Arabidopsis thaliana: one gene and its partner. The protein of the gene in region 1 interacts with the protein of each later gene in a pairwise test. Each region holds a gene or a part of one and is shown on either strand. Other genes may lie near its edges.

Region 1 (8,093 bases):
TGAGTTCGTTTTCTTGCATGGACAAGAAAAGTGAGACCGCACAGCTTGCTAGACCGTGGGCTGCGTAAGCGGATAGCATAGTGTTCCATGAAACTATGTATTTGTTGCTTATCTCAATAAAGCATTTCTCGGAAGATTCTATCATTCCACATTTCGCATACATGTCAACAAGGCTGTTTCCTACTGGTGTTTGGGAACAAAATCCACACTGAATGAGACTGGAATGAACCGACATTCCTACTCTCAAGGCTGATAATTCTGCTGCTGCGCGTACTATGTTAACAAAAGTGACTGCATTTGGCTGAAATTTCTCAACCTTCATCTGACGAAAAGTGGCAACAGCTTCTTCAGCCTGGCCATGGAGTAAGTACCCGTTCATCATTATATTCCAAGATACAGTACTTTTCTCGAATCCACACTTGTCAAACAAAACTATCGCTGCAGCGAGGGCATCACATTTGGTGAACATATTGATAAGAGCATGTGCCACGTGACATTCTGAATCGAACCCATGCTTTATAATTTGTCCATAAACACAAGAACCTCGAGCATAGTCACTACAGAAGGCACAAGTTTGAAGCATACCAACCATAGTTCTTGAGTCTGGGCATACACCATGTAACTTCATGTTCTTGTACACATCAAATGCTTTATTGGCATCACCAATCTGAGTATACCCTTGCGCTAGAGCGTTGAATGCCACAGCATCTTTAATTGGCAGTCTTTCAAAGGCTTTGAGCGCGGGAGAAAATCGACCACATTTAGCGTACATTGAAATAACAGCTGTGGCAGTTTCCAACTCAGACTCAATATCAGCCTTTATAGCATAACAATGTATGCTCTTACCCAATCTAGAGGCGGCTACTCCTGCACACCCTTGTAGCACACTAGTCAAAGTTACAGCATTAGGCTTGATATGTATTCTCATCATATCTCTAAACAAAGAGATAGCCTCATCGTGTTGCCCTGCTTGCTCATACGACGCAATCATGGCAGACCAAGAAACAACATCTCTATCTTCAATATTAATGAACAGTTGTTCGGCTATCTCCAACTCACCACATTTGGAATACATACTCATAAGAGAAGTAGCAACTGAGACATCACCGATCAATCCTTGTTGCACTGCGTAATCATGAATTGCAATCCCCTTCACTAAATCCCCTACATATGCAGCAGCTTGAAGAGCACTTGCTGCAGCTACCTTATTCATTCTAACATCATAGTTTCTCATAAGGTCAAACAACTCCAATACCTCCTCAAAGAACCCATTATGTGCATAAGCTGCCATCATTGTACCCCATGAAGACTCATCCTTCCTCCACACTTCTTCAAAAACAGATTCAGCAGCATATAAATCCGCGCAGTTGCAATACATGTCAATCAGCCCACTAGAGAAAGCAAAGATAAAACCTTTCTTAATCACAAGTCCGTGAAGACATCTACAGACATCACTCTTCTCTAGCTTCGAAACCGCAGGGATCAGATTATATAAACTAACATGATCAATGTCAACACAACACGAACGCATATCATGAAACAACAGCAAAGCTGCACTAGAACATCCATTTTGAGCCAACCCGGAAACCATAGTGTTCCAAGTAACAACATCCTTCACATGCATTTTATCGAACACTTGTCTTGCAGAAACCAAGTCACGAGCTTTACAATACATTTCAACTAACGCAGTTCCTATATAAACATCAGACTCAAGACCCATCTCAGCAATCAAATCATGTATCCGTAAACCCTTCTTAAAGTCCATAGATCCGGCACAAGCCTTCAAAGCAAAAGTGAAACTGTACTTGTCTGGATCAATACCTTTCTCCTCCGACATATACCCGAAGAATCCGAGAGCTTCTCTGTGCAAACCGGCTCTCGTGTATCCTCTGATCATTGAATTCCACAAGACAACACCTGGATCTCGAACTGAATCAAAGATGACGCGAGAAAGGTCCTGTCTTTGAAAGAGAGAATAAGCGTTTATGAGCTGGTTATGAGGTTTAAGACCTGAGACTATCAAGCTGCCGTGAACTTGAAGAAGACACCGGAAGTTCTTACATTCCCGGAGCATAAGGAGGAGGTTAGTGTAGTTAATTGGCATTTCACCGGCGACGAGGATGCATTTGCAGTTTTTTGGCGGTTTATAGGAAAAACCGTTAAATTTGAAAGCTTCAAAATTTTCTGTAATATATAAATTATAAAATTGAAGTCATTTAATTAGAGCGATTTAGTTTATAAGAGGATCAATCAGTTCCTAAGATTAAGACTTTAATCTTTAGTTCATGCCATGAAGATGTAAAACTCAAAGTAGAGCACTGTCATTGGAATGTTTGAGTAGTTTAAACTTTTTTTTTTTTTTTTTTTTTGAACAAAGTTTGAGTAGTTTAAACTAAAACCAAAAAAAAAAAAATCTAGAGCTGTAGTAGTTTCATTTCATCATTTATAATCCGGTAAGATTTTTATCACATCTATTGAAACAAAGACCGACATATTTTCTATCGCCTTAGCTTTCCTTGAGCTTGACCAGAAATTCAGAGACATCAAAACTATATCCTCTCTGCAGAAAACCAGCGTGGACGAGTTGTTATTCCCAAGAGGAAATGCTCTATGTATGTTGTTGTCTATGTGTCTCATACTTGATGGATCTTCCACATGCCAGTTCTGTATCCCACAGACATTAAAGCAAGCTCCCAAAGCATGTTTGGAATGCTCAACATACTGACTTTAGACCCGGGAATTTCGGACCATTTCACAGAGATTTCAACCATTGGTATATTAAAACGCTTGCACAAGTACACCAATTCAACATCAAAGCACCACCTGCGCATAGACCGAGTCAGATGAGACTCTTATTGATGTTTTTACTGCTAGTTTATCATCATCGATTCATTTACTCATATACCTTTTCAGATGGACGTTTGTGAAAAGTCTCCTAGCAGCAGCCCTAGTAAACATCTTGAAGCCACACTGATTAAAAAAAATGATGTTTAGTTATTACTATTCAAGATTGGTGAAACAGAGAGTGTAGAAGGAAACAACGAATGAGATTTAAAAAGCCACCTGTGTATCCCGAATACCAGGACCAGCAGCTAATAGAACCACAAGATGGAAACCCTTCATCAGAAAGTTGCGATACCATTTCCTCTGAAATTGAAAGACTAAAAGTCAATTATCTAAGATGCGTAATAAGTATATGCATCTGTGTGTGTACATAGACAAAGAATGATGTTGTCTAGAACAGAAGTTTGCAAGACTTAACTGTAGCAAGAGCTTTCTCCTCGAGATGAGCACGAGAACCAAATGCGGATACTTGAACATCACCTATTTTGAAATCCATATCCTTAGATGCTGGATTTCTGATTGAATATTCTTCTCTGGCTACTGCATTGATCTGAGAGGCTAGGAGATCAGGAAATTTATAGCACAATTTCTAGTTTCTCTGAAGTTTTAACAGTCAAAACTAAGGGCAAACCTGATTTTCAAGTTTTTCTAGGTCCGTTACTTTAGTTGCTCCATCAGCATCCAACATGAGAAGTAGCTGACCCCGCGAATGCAACATTCCCTATTCAATGCTTTCAAAAAGTAGAAAGCTTCGATTATTTTTTTGTACTATGAAATGACAAATTTACAGTCTTACTCAATCACATAAAATAAATATATAGAATTGCATGCGCTACGAGTTGAACTCACTTTTCTTATAGCTTCTCCTTTGCCTTGATTCTTCCCAAGGGGTATAACCCTTATGTTGTCAATTGTGTACTTTCTAATGAAATCAAAAGCTACTCTTTTTGTTCCATCAACACTTCCATCATCAACAATCACCACCTAAAAGGAGAAAAGGTAAACTTAATCCACTGATGCATATAGGGTTTAAGGAACACAATAACGACTTATTGAGAAATTTAGCATGAGTGGGCAGTCTATATTGATAGATTAATAAGTTGTGAGCATTACTCTCCTTTTTTTAATAGAGTTAGGTAAATCAAATTTAGGGACAAAAAACGTTTAAAAGCTCATACATATTCACCATAACAAAGGCCATATCTATGTTAAGAATCCACCTTAATCAGTTGTAAGGAGAACTACTTAGTATGGAAAACTACTTAGTATTTACCTCAAAAGAAAAACTCTTGTCCCGTGATGCACGATCTTGAAGGTAACTGCAAACCAGAGGCGAATTACAATTATGCCTCTGTAGTATGCATAAATAAGACTTGTGCTGCTGTTTCGCAAGAGAAGCAAACTTCTCACGATTGGAAGCAGACACACAATCCAGTAAAAGGGAGATTCGAATAAGTGGAAGTTGTCTAACTTACTCCATTGTTTCCTCAAGAGCAGCAGGAAGTCTCAGTTCTTCATTATACGCTGGAACTATTAAAGACAAATACTTCTCGGCAGGGTCGGTAATATGAGGGCAAGGAATCTGATAATAAAGTTTGAAAAACAGGGTCAGGAAAAGTAAAATCAGATTCCTCAACCACCAGAAAATGCGATCAAGCAAGTCAAACTCGTTATAATTGACAAGACAATCTATGTATGGATTCAACATTATAATGGAACACTTAATTTTTCTAGCTAAGCCACTAACTTAAGAGTTTCCAAAGTCTGCATCTGGAAGAGACTCCATAAACTACTTATCAAGTTTCACACGACTATACAATATAACTTCTCAAGCTTCTTTGCTAAACCAAAATGTAACATTTGATACAAAAAAAGAGCTAAACTAATGGAAACAGTTCCTCTTAAAGACTACGTGAAGCTTCAACATTCGTTTTAGCGAAACACAGAATCAAGTGTTCAAATCGCCAACGCAAAACCTTTTTAACGAGAAAATCTCAGTTCCATTAACTATAATTAACTGATTTTCAAAACGCTATCGTTCTTTGCCACACTATTGCCAGAAAATCACTGTAAACTAATACGATAAATCAATCAGACGTTACCGGTTTTATAGATTTCGGATCGTCGAGTGTAGTCACGGTCTCGACAGAGCTGAGAAAATCCAAAACAAATCAATCAAATCTTATCCTCAGAAATCGGAACAAATTCGAAGAAATTGAGTAAAACGTACACGTTACTGTGTCTCCTTCTCCAAGCTTCAAAAACAACAACGGATAGAAATCCGAATAAGACGATCAGCAGCAGCCAGAGGCTGAATTCCGCAACTGTTACCAGAAACTCCATTGTTGCTCCCGAGATTTGAGATCTGTTTTGCTTTCACGAGAAAGAGAGAGAGTGAAGAAGGAGAGATCGAAACCAATCCGTGAAGAATAAGCAAGAAAAGCTAAAGTCTAATGATTGATCCGTGAAGATGGTTCAATCCCTAATTTCAGATTAAAATGCAGCAGAGCTCAATTTGAGATAGCCATTTCGGTTTGACTTTTGGTTTAGCCATTTAGGTTCCGGTTCGTTTGGTAGTGTTAATGTTGAACAAAATCTCAAATTATAATAAAATAAAGTTTTATTGATTAACAATTTTCAATATACAGAAAAAAATGTGGATTAAAATATGTTAAAGAATAAAACTGATCAATATTATGATTTGGAAATGGCAGATTATATATATGAATAACTAGAAAATGAATAGATGGAAATGACAAAGTATAATTTGGATATTTTACCATATGTATATAATTTTTCTTTTTCATGTACATGTCTACATAAATATTTGAAAAATATAATGAAAATTAAAGATACAACATAAAAACAACGAAAAATGATTGTTCTTATAATGAAATAAAAGGATCTTGTTTTATTGATTTTTTTCAGTTTCTGTAGTTGCTTTTTAAAAATTCAGAGCGTTACTGATGCTGGTACGACGCATGTGCTAGTGCTTGGGTTGGTAGTAGTGACGATGCCACTACCACGGAAGTCACAAGCGTCTTTGGAGTATCCTTTGCTCTCGTAATAAGCGTTCATTATGAACGTGGATCGAGTCTTCATGTTGTTGTTATCAAAACATATGCCACCAGGTGATATTGGTTTACAATCAATACCTTGGCTACACACCCAATCAATATTAGCTTGTAGTTGTGTCTCTGTCGCTTCTTGTTTCGCCATACACCAATTTGCACTTTTGCTTTTTGCGCCATTGCCGCCGCCACCTTCCCCTATCGGTATAGGGCATGTGCTAGTGCTTGGGTTGGTACTGGTAACGATGCCAGTACCGCTAAAATCACAGACAACATCAACGCATCCCTTGCTTTGGTAATAAGCGTTCATAATAAACGAGGACCGAGTCGTCATGTTGTTGTTGTCAAAACATATGCCACCAGGTGAGATTGGTGTACAATCAATACCATGGCTGCATACCCAATCAATATTTGCTTGTAGTTGCATTAACGTCGCTTCTGGTTTTCCCACACACCATTTTCCATTGTTGTTTATCGGTGGAAACGGAAGCGGGCTTCCACCGCCTTTTAGAACTCCAACATCATACATCGGTGAAAAATCCGGTTTAAATATCCCCCAATTTCTCTCACGTGTTGGACCGGGTTTTCCATCTTCATTGAACAATGCAAATATGAAGATATCGATGTGGCGGTTGGGCATTAGAGGTGTCCCTATAACTTGTGCACGCTTGATGATATTGAGGTTGTAGTTTTCAGCGTTTTGAGGTGAGCACCATGAAGCGTCACAAGCCGTGGGCCAACCGGTCTCCCCTACCGCGATATCTACGTCGCCATAGCCAAGAGCTTTCATAGCAGAATATGTTGCATCCATGACTGCGTCAAACATGTTGGTGTAGGTTTGTTGTGTATTGGTATCCGTTATTGCATTTGATGGACCAAATATTGCGTAATTGACATTGTTCGTGTCCATCGTGAAAAAAGTGTAGGCGTTGATCATGAATGGGGACTTAGCCTGACGATGAAATTCCAAGATCTTTGTAAAAATATCTTTTTGATCGTTAGTAAATCTGCTCTCACTTGGTGTATTACGGTTATAGCTTATGGTAAATGCATGTGGAGTTGTCACCTGAAGCCAAATAATGGTGGATTAATTACATTTTGTTGATAGTAGTATCAAATAACAACGTATTCAAAAAATATTTATGAAATATGATTCATATGTAAAAAAACAAAAAAAAAAACATTCATGTATTAGTATTAGTGTTTTCGTAAACGCAAGTTTTTTTTTTTTTTTTTATCATCATGACTTGAAACTAACCTTGATATAAGTGAGATTGGAAGCTTTTAAAGCTTCGTTAAGACTTTGCATCGCTGGTACAAGATTTGATATCAAGTTATTGTCGTTACTAGCAAGAATCTCGTTTCCGACACAAACGTATTTGAACTTGATCTGCTGCTGAAACGGTAAGACATTGGCAGCGACCCATTGACGAGCATTTGCAACGTTGACCATGGCAGGAATGTTACCGTTAGGGACCATGATGGTGATGTTGATTTCAGAGCCCGCGAAGGCTCGGAGGATGTCGGGATTAGCATCATAGATCTTGACACTGTCAAAAGTGGTCTTTGTCTTGATGAAGTCAACCACTTGTTGTGGAGGTTGAAGGTTCCCTAGTGTTCCATAGTTGATACCAATGGCGGAAGTCACGGCTGAGAGTTGAAAGATCACGCCGGCGACTATGAGGAGGAAAGGGAGAATGAAAGACCGAATCGTTTTGGCCATTGCTTTGTTTTGTTTTGTTTTGTTTTGTGTAGTAAGACTAGGCTAAGAATAAGCGTGTATTTATACTACTAATGTAGATTCTCCATGTCTCTACAATTTTTCTTTAAAAATCTAGTGAAATTAATGTAGATGATAAGCATGAACGTTGCCTTTTATATTGTAATCAAATTTGATGTAATATAAACTAATATAGAAGAACCGGGCGGCAACAAATGGTACACAATTTTATTAAGTTTACATCACTAAGAGAGGTAGATCTTATACTTAATTAAGAATAAAATGGAATTTAATGGGAAGATCTTATACCTAATTAAGAATAAAATGGAATTTAATGGGAAGATCATATACTAAATTAAGAATAAAATGGAATATAAGTTTGGATAACATGTCATATGCATCAAATACATTTATTATTAGTTCATCATGGATTTATTGAAAGAAAGAAAGAAATATAT
Region 2 (8,557 bases), 4.2 Mb from region 1:
CATAATTATCATTTTTATTTGCATTTATTATTGGAAATATATATGTACGTTGATGGCTAAGTATAAATTAACTTTGCTTAATAGGGTTCATTATCATATAGATCCGTAATCATGAAAGCTTAATTAGGGTATCTTTGTGGGTCAAGACTCAAGAGTAGGCTTGTCCCTGATCTGTCGTTTTCGTCTTCGTTCATTAGATATCTTCATGGCGATGGTTTTATCTCTTATATGAATCTTTTTTGAATATATTAATTATCTTGTTGATTGCAAACATATATAAGCTTGTAATCTTGCAATAAAACAAATGAAAGGGGTGAACCAAATTCACAATAAAACAACCATTGATTGTCTACTATTAACTATTCAATGAAATATAAATGTTCTACGTCATCATTAAAAAACTATGATACTAATCTCGTTTCCTATTGATATTAATATTTCAATATATAAGAACAATAACTCTAACAAGAATAATGACTGAATCTTAGTATGAAAATAACTTTACTCGGTATCAAACGACGTAAAGAAAGGGAAAAAAAAGCATGAAAAAGATGAAACCTGTCATTTACAACTTCTATTTTATGTCTACTTTTATTTTTATTTTCAAAAGAAGAACAAAGAAGAGATCTTTCAAATTGTCTCTACATTTTATCTTCTCTTTTACTTTTCCCTAACGATTTTGTTGTATGTAGTATATATCTTTAATAATCAGTCGTTTCGTATATAAATGCGAACATCTTTTTCAGAAAGAGATTGCCTAAAATGGCGTATATGTTGTATTATTACCCTAAAAACAAATAATCTTTAACGTTAGTTGATCATGCATGAAATCATCAGCAAACCTTTTCATAATCCCACTCATCTCTTTTGTGCTCTTGTCCTTCTCCATTTTGTTGTTATCTTCTCTCTTTTTTTCTTCATTTTGACCATATATCATTTCTCAATAATTTTTCGAATTTATCATGAAAAACGTAGAACTTCTACATGTCAAAAGCTTAGATACACTGAAACCATGTATTTTAGTGGTTTATGCTACAATCGTGTCTATGTGTTACTATTATTAATAAAATTTATATAATGCATATTGTTAAACAAAAAGTTGACGAAATTATGACAGAAAAAAATGACGAAACAATTTCTTTTAACTCTTTATCCACAAATATCTGATTTTTTTTTTTTTTTTTTTTTTTTTTTTTTTTTTTTTTACTAGGGAAGCAATGAATTGCTCTTTTTTTCTCTCCTGGTGTCAATGCTTCAATTATGAACGTTAACTAATTTATTGCTTTATGAGCTTCTTTCTCGTCCAAACATTCTTAAAAACAATAGTGAAAGTCTCGATTACGAATTCAATATGACTACGTTCAATTTCATATATCGCTTTCCATTCTAATTTTTTAAGATTTGGCATAGGTGTACTAATCATTTGCTTCATCTGCCGAACAAATTTTCATAATTACTTTTTTAAAGAACGCATATGCGGTTATAATTTGTACCACTCTTAACTTTGCATATGAATTTACTTAATTACTTATGCACCCATTAATCAATGGAAGCCCGAGGTAATATGCAACCTGATTAAAAAATATTACGTTATTATTCTGATGGTCCGTACATACAAATATTACTTTTTATAATTTTCCTATGTATCCTTTGTATATGAATTGAAAAGCATTTTAGAGAAATAATTTCTATTTAGTAACAAATTAATGAGTTATTACCCATAAATTATTCTTACGTCTCCATCAAAAAGTGAGTTTAGCCTTGAAAGTTCTGTGTCGACGTCGTTATGTTATAAAACAATAAATACGAACTCTTAATCGTTCGTTGTCATATAAAATTAAGAAAAAAATACAACATCATCATTTTTTTTATTTTTTTTGTCAAACTTACAACATCATCATTTCTATCAAAAATTTATGTTAAAAAACAAATTATGAAATAAATAATTATTTCACAACGAAAAATAATAATAACAAATATAATTATTTTCAAAACAACTTTAAATTTAATTTCTATATATAGTATTTGGTATAGGTCTATATATGATCGTGACGTGTGAAATATAATTGAGGAACGGTGGATGATTCTTGAAAACAATGTGGAAGATATTTAATTCAGTATGATGCTTAAAAAAACTCATAACGTTAGCTATGTTTTGTTGAATATTACATCACATAAACGTATGGGTGTGCACTTAGAGCGAGCCGGTGATTATAGGTTTGTTTTTTTTGGTAAAAAATTATTGAGAGATTATTGATTATAGGTTTTGAAGCTATCGATCTGAGCTAGAGATTAAGGAACGAATCCCTCTATGAACATTTAAACCTTGTTCTTTTTGCTTATTAACTGAGAGATTAGGATCCTAAAATCTATACAACACTAGAGATCATTATCCAAAAGATTTTACTTAGTCCCATTTGCGGTCACATTTAATTCCCTAAAAGCATGAAAATTCTATCCCATTTGTTTTTTCCACTAGACTTGGGACTCAAAGCGTAATTTATAACTATCTTACGTTAGAGAGCATTATTTACGACCATTATTTAGGCTGAACTCATTATAGACATCGATCAAGCTCTAGTGTTAAATACATTTTCTTTGTGGGATTAATCTTTAAAGGCCTTGTAATCACTTACTATTTCGTAAGTTATGAAGATTTGGGAACCGGATTATGGCTTTGGGAAGTTAAGTCCTATGACTCAAGCTTACCTTTTTAGGGTTGTGTATAGGTTCTCGATAAATGTTTCAGATTAGTTCATTTGTTTTTTTGTTTATAAAAACTACATAATATAAAACGTGGAAAGAAAGTGATAATGACAAGAAATAAAAGTAAGAAAGGTGGTGGTGTGAGAATCAGATTCGATGTCAACTAATTGAAAGAGAGTACGCAGCTTTTTCTTCACAATTATATATATTTTGTGGAAAAGCTTACCATACATTCACAAAGCATTCGAGATTTGATTTTTATAGAAAAGTATTTACATAAAGTATTTTCTAAATCGGTTTCTATTTTGTATGCTTTCAGTTTTATTTTGTGTTGGGGAAGTGATCCATGCATTGAGCTTGGAGATTGATGGATTGGTAATTAAGCCTATTAAGTTAAGCAGGCCTGTTTCTAAAATGGGCCCTAATAAGCCCAAACTACAAAAAGCACCGATATATCCCACGTTAGATACATGTCCACGTGGACTCCTATGACTGGATGTAATCTCCACCACGCGCGATCACCAGCTTCGTCTCTCATTTTCATTTTCCAATTTATTTTCAAAAAAAGATAAATCCAGAAAAAAATTTACAAAATAAAAAAATAAAAATCTCTATCTTCTTCTTCGTCTCTTCTCATCCTCCTCTCAAGCTCCAATGGCGAGAGTTCTAGTCTCGTCTCCATCTTCATTCTTCGGTTCACCGTTGATTAAACCGTCGTCATCTCTCCGTCACAGTGGAGTAGGAGGAGGAGGAACCGCTCAATTTCTTCCATACCGGAGTAATAATAACAAACTCTTCACTACTTCAACCACCGTACGATTCAGCTTAAACGAGATTCCTCCTTTCCATGGCTTGGATTCATCTGTAGACATCGGAGCGATTTTCACCAGAGCTGAATCTCTTCTCTATACAATAGCTGACGCCGCCGTTGTTGGTGCTGATTCCGTCGTAACTACTGATTCATCCGCCGTGCAGAAGAGTGGTGGTTGGTTTGGTTTTATCTCCGATGCTATGGAATTGGTTCTTAAGGTGAGTTTTAAGCTGCTAATTTCGATCTCTGTGTGTAGAATTCTGGAAATTGTATTTGTAGCTTAAGTTTTTTGGTTTGGATTTTTAGATTTTGAAGGATGGATTATCAGCGGTTCATGTACCTTATGCTTATGGATTTGCGATTATCTTGCTTACGATTATCGTCAAAGCAGCGACGTATCCTTTGACTAAGCAACAGGTTAGTGAGTGTGATTAGTTGAATTTTGCAGCTCCTCTTGTCACTTTGATTCAATTTTGGCATGTTGGTTGAGAATTTTTGAGCATTGCTTTTGTTTTGGAATCCTTTAGGTTGAATCAACACTAGCGATGCAAAATCTTCAACCGAAAATCAAAGCGATTCAACAACGTTACGCAGGAAATCAGGTGAGTTTCTTTGGATAGAGAATGAGTTACTTGTGGATGACGAGTCTGATTTGTTTGTTCTGTTTTTGGATATATAGGAGAGGATACAACTAGAGACATCGCGATTGTATAAACAAGCTGGTGTTAATCCGTTGGCAGGTACTTTCTTTTAGAAGTTACGAGTTTTGTATTCCCTTCCTGAATTGTGGTGACATATGCACATTATTGTTTTTTTTATGTTAGGTTGCTTACCAACTTTAGCAACCATACCAGTTTGGATTGGTTTATACCAAGCTCTCTCTAACGTGGCCAACGAGGTACATATACCTTATGTCTCTTTCAACTACTGATTTCGCTAGAGACCGGATAAGTTTGTCTCTTTCAACTACTAATTGTTCTAAAAACTTTTTTTTTGTAGGGATTGTTTACAGAAGGTTTCTTTTGGATTCCATCTCTGGGTGGACCAACATCTATAGCTGCTCGGCAGAGTGGATCCGGCATTTCGTGGCTTTTTCCGTTTGTGGTAATGGAAGAAAAAAACTTTATGTGAATACGTTTTCTCATTTGATACTTATCTTTATACTAAAAAATTTCATACAACTGAGTCTTTTGCTGTGCAATGAACCTTTATCAAATTGGTGTCTAATATCGTTCGGTGGTGCAGGACGGGCATCCACCATTGGGATGGTATGACACTGTAGCTTATCTTGTTCTACCTGTTCTACTTATTGCCTCCCAGTATGTGTCAATGGAAATTATGAAGCCTCCTCAAGTGAGAAATAAACACAAGTTTCTTTTATTTTTCCTGTTACTTAAACAATTTGATATGATTGTTCTGAAACCGAATTTAATTTCTTTTGTCAGACTGATGATCCTGCACAGAAGAATACGCTTCTTGTTTTCAAGTTTCTTCCACTCATGATCGGTTACTTTGCATTGTCTGTCCCATCAGGACTATCTATTTACTGGTTGGTTTCCCTCTCCTTGAAACTTCTCATCTAACTGTTTTATCCATGCCCTTGATCTACTCATTAAATGGAGTATAAGAAAGATTTTCTCTAGTAATTAACCTAGATGGCTTCATTCTCAAAATGTACGTAAGACGGGTTAGAATTTCGAGGAATACGAAGCTTGTTTGATAAGGAATCATCTAGTGTGACTACATTTTGTAACATCAATATTATTGTATATGACTGTGTTTATTGGTAGGATCTGAGTTTTATTTTTTCCCTTTTTATTATGCTACTGCTTATGTTAAACCATCCTATGGTTTTAGGCTCACAAATAATGTACTTAGTACCGCCCAACAAGTATATCTGCGTAAACTAGGTGGTGCAAAGCCAAATATGGATGAAAACGCAAGCAAAATAATAAGTGCGGGACGAGCAAAGAGATCTATTGCTCAGCCTGACGATGCTGGCGAAAGGTAAGTGAATCCCGAGTCTAGTGGAGATTATATCTCTCAATACGAAGCGTTTTTCTTACAAGTTTGTTATTTCTGATAAATGTATATTGGATCACAACAGATTTAGACAATTAAAAGAGCAAGAGAAGCGCAGCAAGAAGAACAAGGCGGTTGCGAAAGATACAGTTGAATTGGTAGAAGAATCTCAGTCTGAATCAGAAGAAGGGTCTGATGATGAGGAAGAAGAGGCTCGTGAAGGAGCGTTAGCTTCGAGCACAACAAGCAAGCCGCTTCCTGAGGTTGGCCAACGAAGAAGCAAAAGATCGAAGCGGAAACGCACTGTATAGAACCAAAGCAAACGAAATTGCAAGTAAGGAAGAGAAAAGAGAGAGATTTGAATCTTGTTCCTTAGTTTGATCTTTTGATATATATTTGCATACACCATGTCCGGTAATTATCTAATATTAGGGCACAAAAAGGTCATTCTAAAGTTAAAAGCAGTAGTTGATCAAAGTAAATTGTTTATGTGATTCATCTTATTATAAATGTATTAACGTAAATGTGTGTACTATTATGACTTTTCAACATGCCCGCTTCAGTTTTGTTAGCATTTCGTTGTTGTAAACTTGCAATCTATTTGTTTGGTGCTTTTATTAGCTTTGTCAGCTTATAAAAATGGTAAATGTGAATCAAGTAGTATAGTAATTTGTGCAATAAACGAGACAACGATTCCCCATGAATAAACAACAATTACTTCCTGACAAAGAAGCATTGTTCTTTGGATTGGCATGGATAAAATAGAGAGAGGTAAAAATATTACGATTTGGATTGGGCTGAGGCCCAAGATATGGTTACACGATTTTCAAATTCTCGAAGTTGTACAAGTAGACAAAAGACATCTTGTTTTGTCGTGTTGTCGTTTGGTGTTTGTCGTTTTGATGTGTTTGTCAAAGAACCCTGTTACTAATCTGAACGAATATAACTTGTCAGTGTAGCCACATTACACTAATATTCAGAGAAAGTTGTCATGTTGTTACAATCATGAGTCACATAGCATGTAATAGAGTGTACATTTCAATAGGTTTAGAAGTTTAGAACACATAAATCAATCGGTCCATCTAAAATGTTTGCATTATGGTTTACTCATTGTAACTTGTAAACATTACATATGTGAATGCTTACTATCCTAGAAAAGCAAAACTGTTGGAAACAGCTAAAAATTAATATATCTGCCTAATATTTTCAGAATATGTTATTTTTCAACCATCCGAAATAGTGCTATTTACCAAAAACACACATTAGGATTAGTTTACCAATGAAGGAAACAAAGCTTCGTTAGTCACAAACCACATGCCATCATTTTATTCTTTAAAGAGCTTTCAAGCTTTTGACTCATAGAAATAGAATCCAATATTCATCTCTTTTAAACTGACATTAAAGCCCTTCGCCTCCTTAAACCCACATGCTAAATTCATTGCCTAACCACCCAAAACATCCAAAGGGTATTTTCGTCACTCCAAAAAATGTATGCATATCGAAAAATACTTTAGCTTATATACACACACGTCGCATTGGCACACCTTTCACACCAAAAGCTACACAATGGCTAAAACCTCTCTTCCTCTCGCCGCCTCCTTCCTCCTCCTCATCTCCTTCTCCTCCGCCGTAGACACTTCCCGTCTCTTCCTCACCGTCGTCAACAACTGTCCCTTCACTGTCTGGCCAGCCATTCAACCCAACGCCGGCCACCCCGTCCTAGAGAAAGGTGGCTTCGCTCTCCCAACTTTCACTCACCGCTCCTTCAACGTTCCAACCACACACTGGTCCGGTCGCATCTGGGCCAGAACCTGGTGTGCCCACTACAACGGAAAATTCTCCTGCCTCACCGGAGACTGCGGAAACCGCCTGGAATGCAACGGTCTCGGCGGGGCACCACCAGCTTCTCTAGCTCAGTTCGACCTCCACCACGGTGGTCACCACGACTTCTCCTCTTACGGTGTCTCTCTCGTTGACGGTTACAATGTTCCGATGACCGTGACTCCTCACGAAGGCCATGGTGTCTGTCCTGTCGTTGGTTGTCGTGAAGATCTAATAAAAACGTGTCCGGCTCATCTTCAGGTCCGGTCACACAGTGGACACGTGGTGGCTTGTAAGAGTGGGTGTGAGGCTTTCCATACAGACGAGCTGTGTTGTCGTGGTCATTACAATAGCCCTAACACGTGTAAAGCTTCGAGCCATTCGCTGTTCTTTAAGCATGCGTGTCCTTCGAGTTTCACTTTTGCTCATGATAGTCCTTCGCTTATGCATGACTGTGCTTCTCCTAGAGAGCTCAAAGTCATCTTCTGCCACTAATGTTTCGGCCATGTTCTAGGGTTATTGTCGTAACATCGGACTGATCTTCTAATGCTTTTGTTTGGTTAGTCTGATTTTGATTGGTTTAGTATGCGATTTCCCGGTTCAGTTATGTAGTCCAACTATGAAATTATGTATTATCTTGAAATTGCTCTCTTTAATTCTCTTTTTTTATTTCGATTCTGTAATGCTTAAACATTGATAGAGAAGTTATAATTGGAATGGTAACAATTTAAAAAATTTTGGTTCAAGAATAACCATTTTGAAAGAATGATTTGTTTTCAGTTGATATTCACGGTTTTTACTCGATATTAAAAAAAAGGTACATTGTTTTTATTCGAGGCTTGCAGGCTTAGACAGTGTTTTGTTCTTACACCTTTTTATTTTGTATTTGTCGGTAAGATATTTTATATCACGAGTTTCCACATTTTTTAATGTATAATGTGAACCACTAATCAAGTAGTATATCGGTAGTAAATATATTTAACTTTTCGCTTAACAAAAACTTATTAAAAAAAAAAAGACAAAAATCTGAATTGTACAGTGGCTATATTGAACTTACAGAGAAAAGAAAAATCCAATAAAGAAAAAATTATTGGTGTAAATCATATATCACAAGACTTCTTTAGGCATGGAATGAAACACACTCAATACGAAAAAAGCTGCATCTTCACGTGAAAGATTCTCATTTCTTTTTTGTGT

The links. The genes of interacting proteins can lie anywhere in the genome.
Region 2: the proteins of AT2G39630 (region 1) and ALB3 interact in a protein complementation assay, tested with the Arabidopsis thaliana proteins (one study listed by BioGRID).

Annotation. Positions count from the first base shown.
Region 1 is NC_003071.7:16,519,375-16,527,467, forward strand, and holds AT2G39630 (Nucleotide-diphospho-sugar transferases superfamily protein), read right to left. Parts: upstream 5,410-8,093; 5' UTR 5,188-5,409; coding exon 5,075-5,187; intron 4,996-5,074; coding exon 4,947-4,995; intron 4,427-4,946; coding exon 4,320-4,426; intron 4,164-4,319; coding exon 4,118-4,163; intron 3,829-4,117; coding exon 3,694-3,828; intron 3,566-3,693; coding exon 3,476-3,565; intron 3,395-3,475; coding exon 3,263-3,394; coding exon of another isoform or gene 3,236-3,262; exon of another isoform or gene 3,162-3,235; coding exon of another isoform or gene 3,148-3,161; coding exon 3,064-3,147; intron 2,971-3,063; coding exon 2,906-2,970; intron 2,824-2,905; coding exon 2,634-2,823; 3' UTR 2,370-2,633; downstream 1-2,369. Other genes in the region: AT2G39620 (Pentatricopeptide repeat (PPR) superfamily protein), read right to left, coding at 1-2,104; AT2G39640 (glycosyl hydrolase family 17 protein), read right to left, coding at 5,797-6,981, 7,174-7,638.
Region 2 is NC_003071.7:12,353,962-12,362,518, reverse strand, and holds ALB3 (63 kDa inner membrane family protein), read left to right. Parts: upstream 1-2,950; 5' UTR 2,951-3,360; coding exon 3,361-3,735; intron 3,736-3,823; coding exon 3,824-3,934; intron 3,935-4,044; coding exon 4,045-4,119; intron 4,120-4,196; coding exon 4,197-4,257; intron 4,258-4,341; coding exon 4,342-4,415; intron 4,416-4,516; coding exon 4,517-4,621; intron 4,622-4,762; coding exon 4,763-4,870; intron 4,871-4,962; coding exon 4,963-5,066; coding exon of another isoform or gene 5,067-5,100; exon of another isoform or gene 5,101-5,374; coding exon 5,375-5,524; intron 5,525-5,624; coding exon 5,625-5,850; 3' UTR 5,851-6,198; downstream 6,199-8,557. Other genes in the region: AT2G28790 (Pathogenesis-related thaumatin superfamily protein), read left to right, coding at 7,031-7,855. UniProt on the Arabidopsis thaliana protein: Required for the insertion of some light harvesting chlorophyll-binding proteins (LHCP) into the chloroplast thylakoid membrane.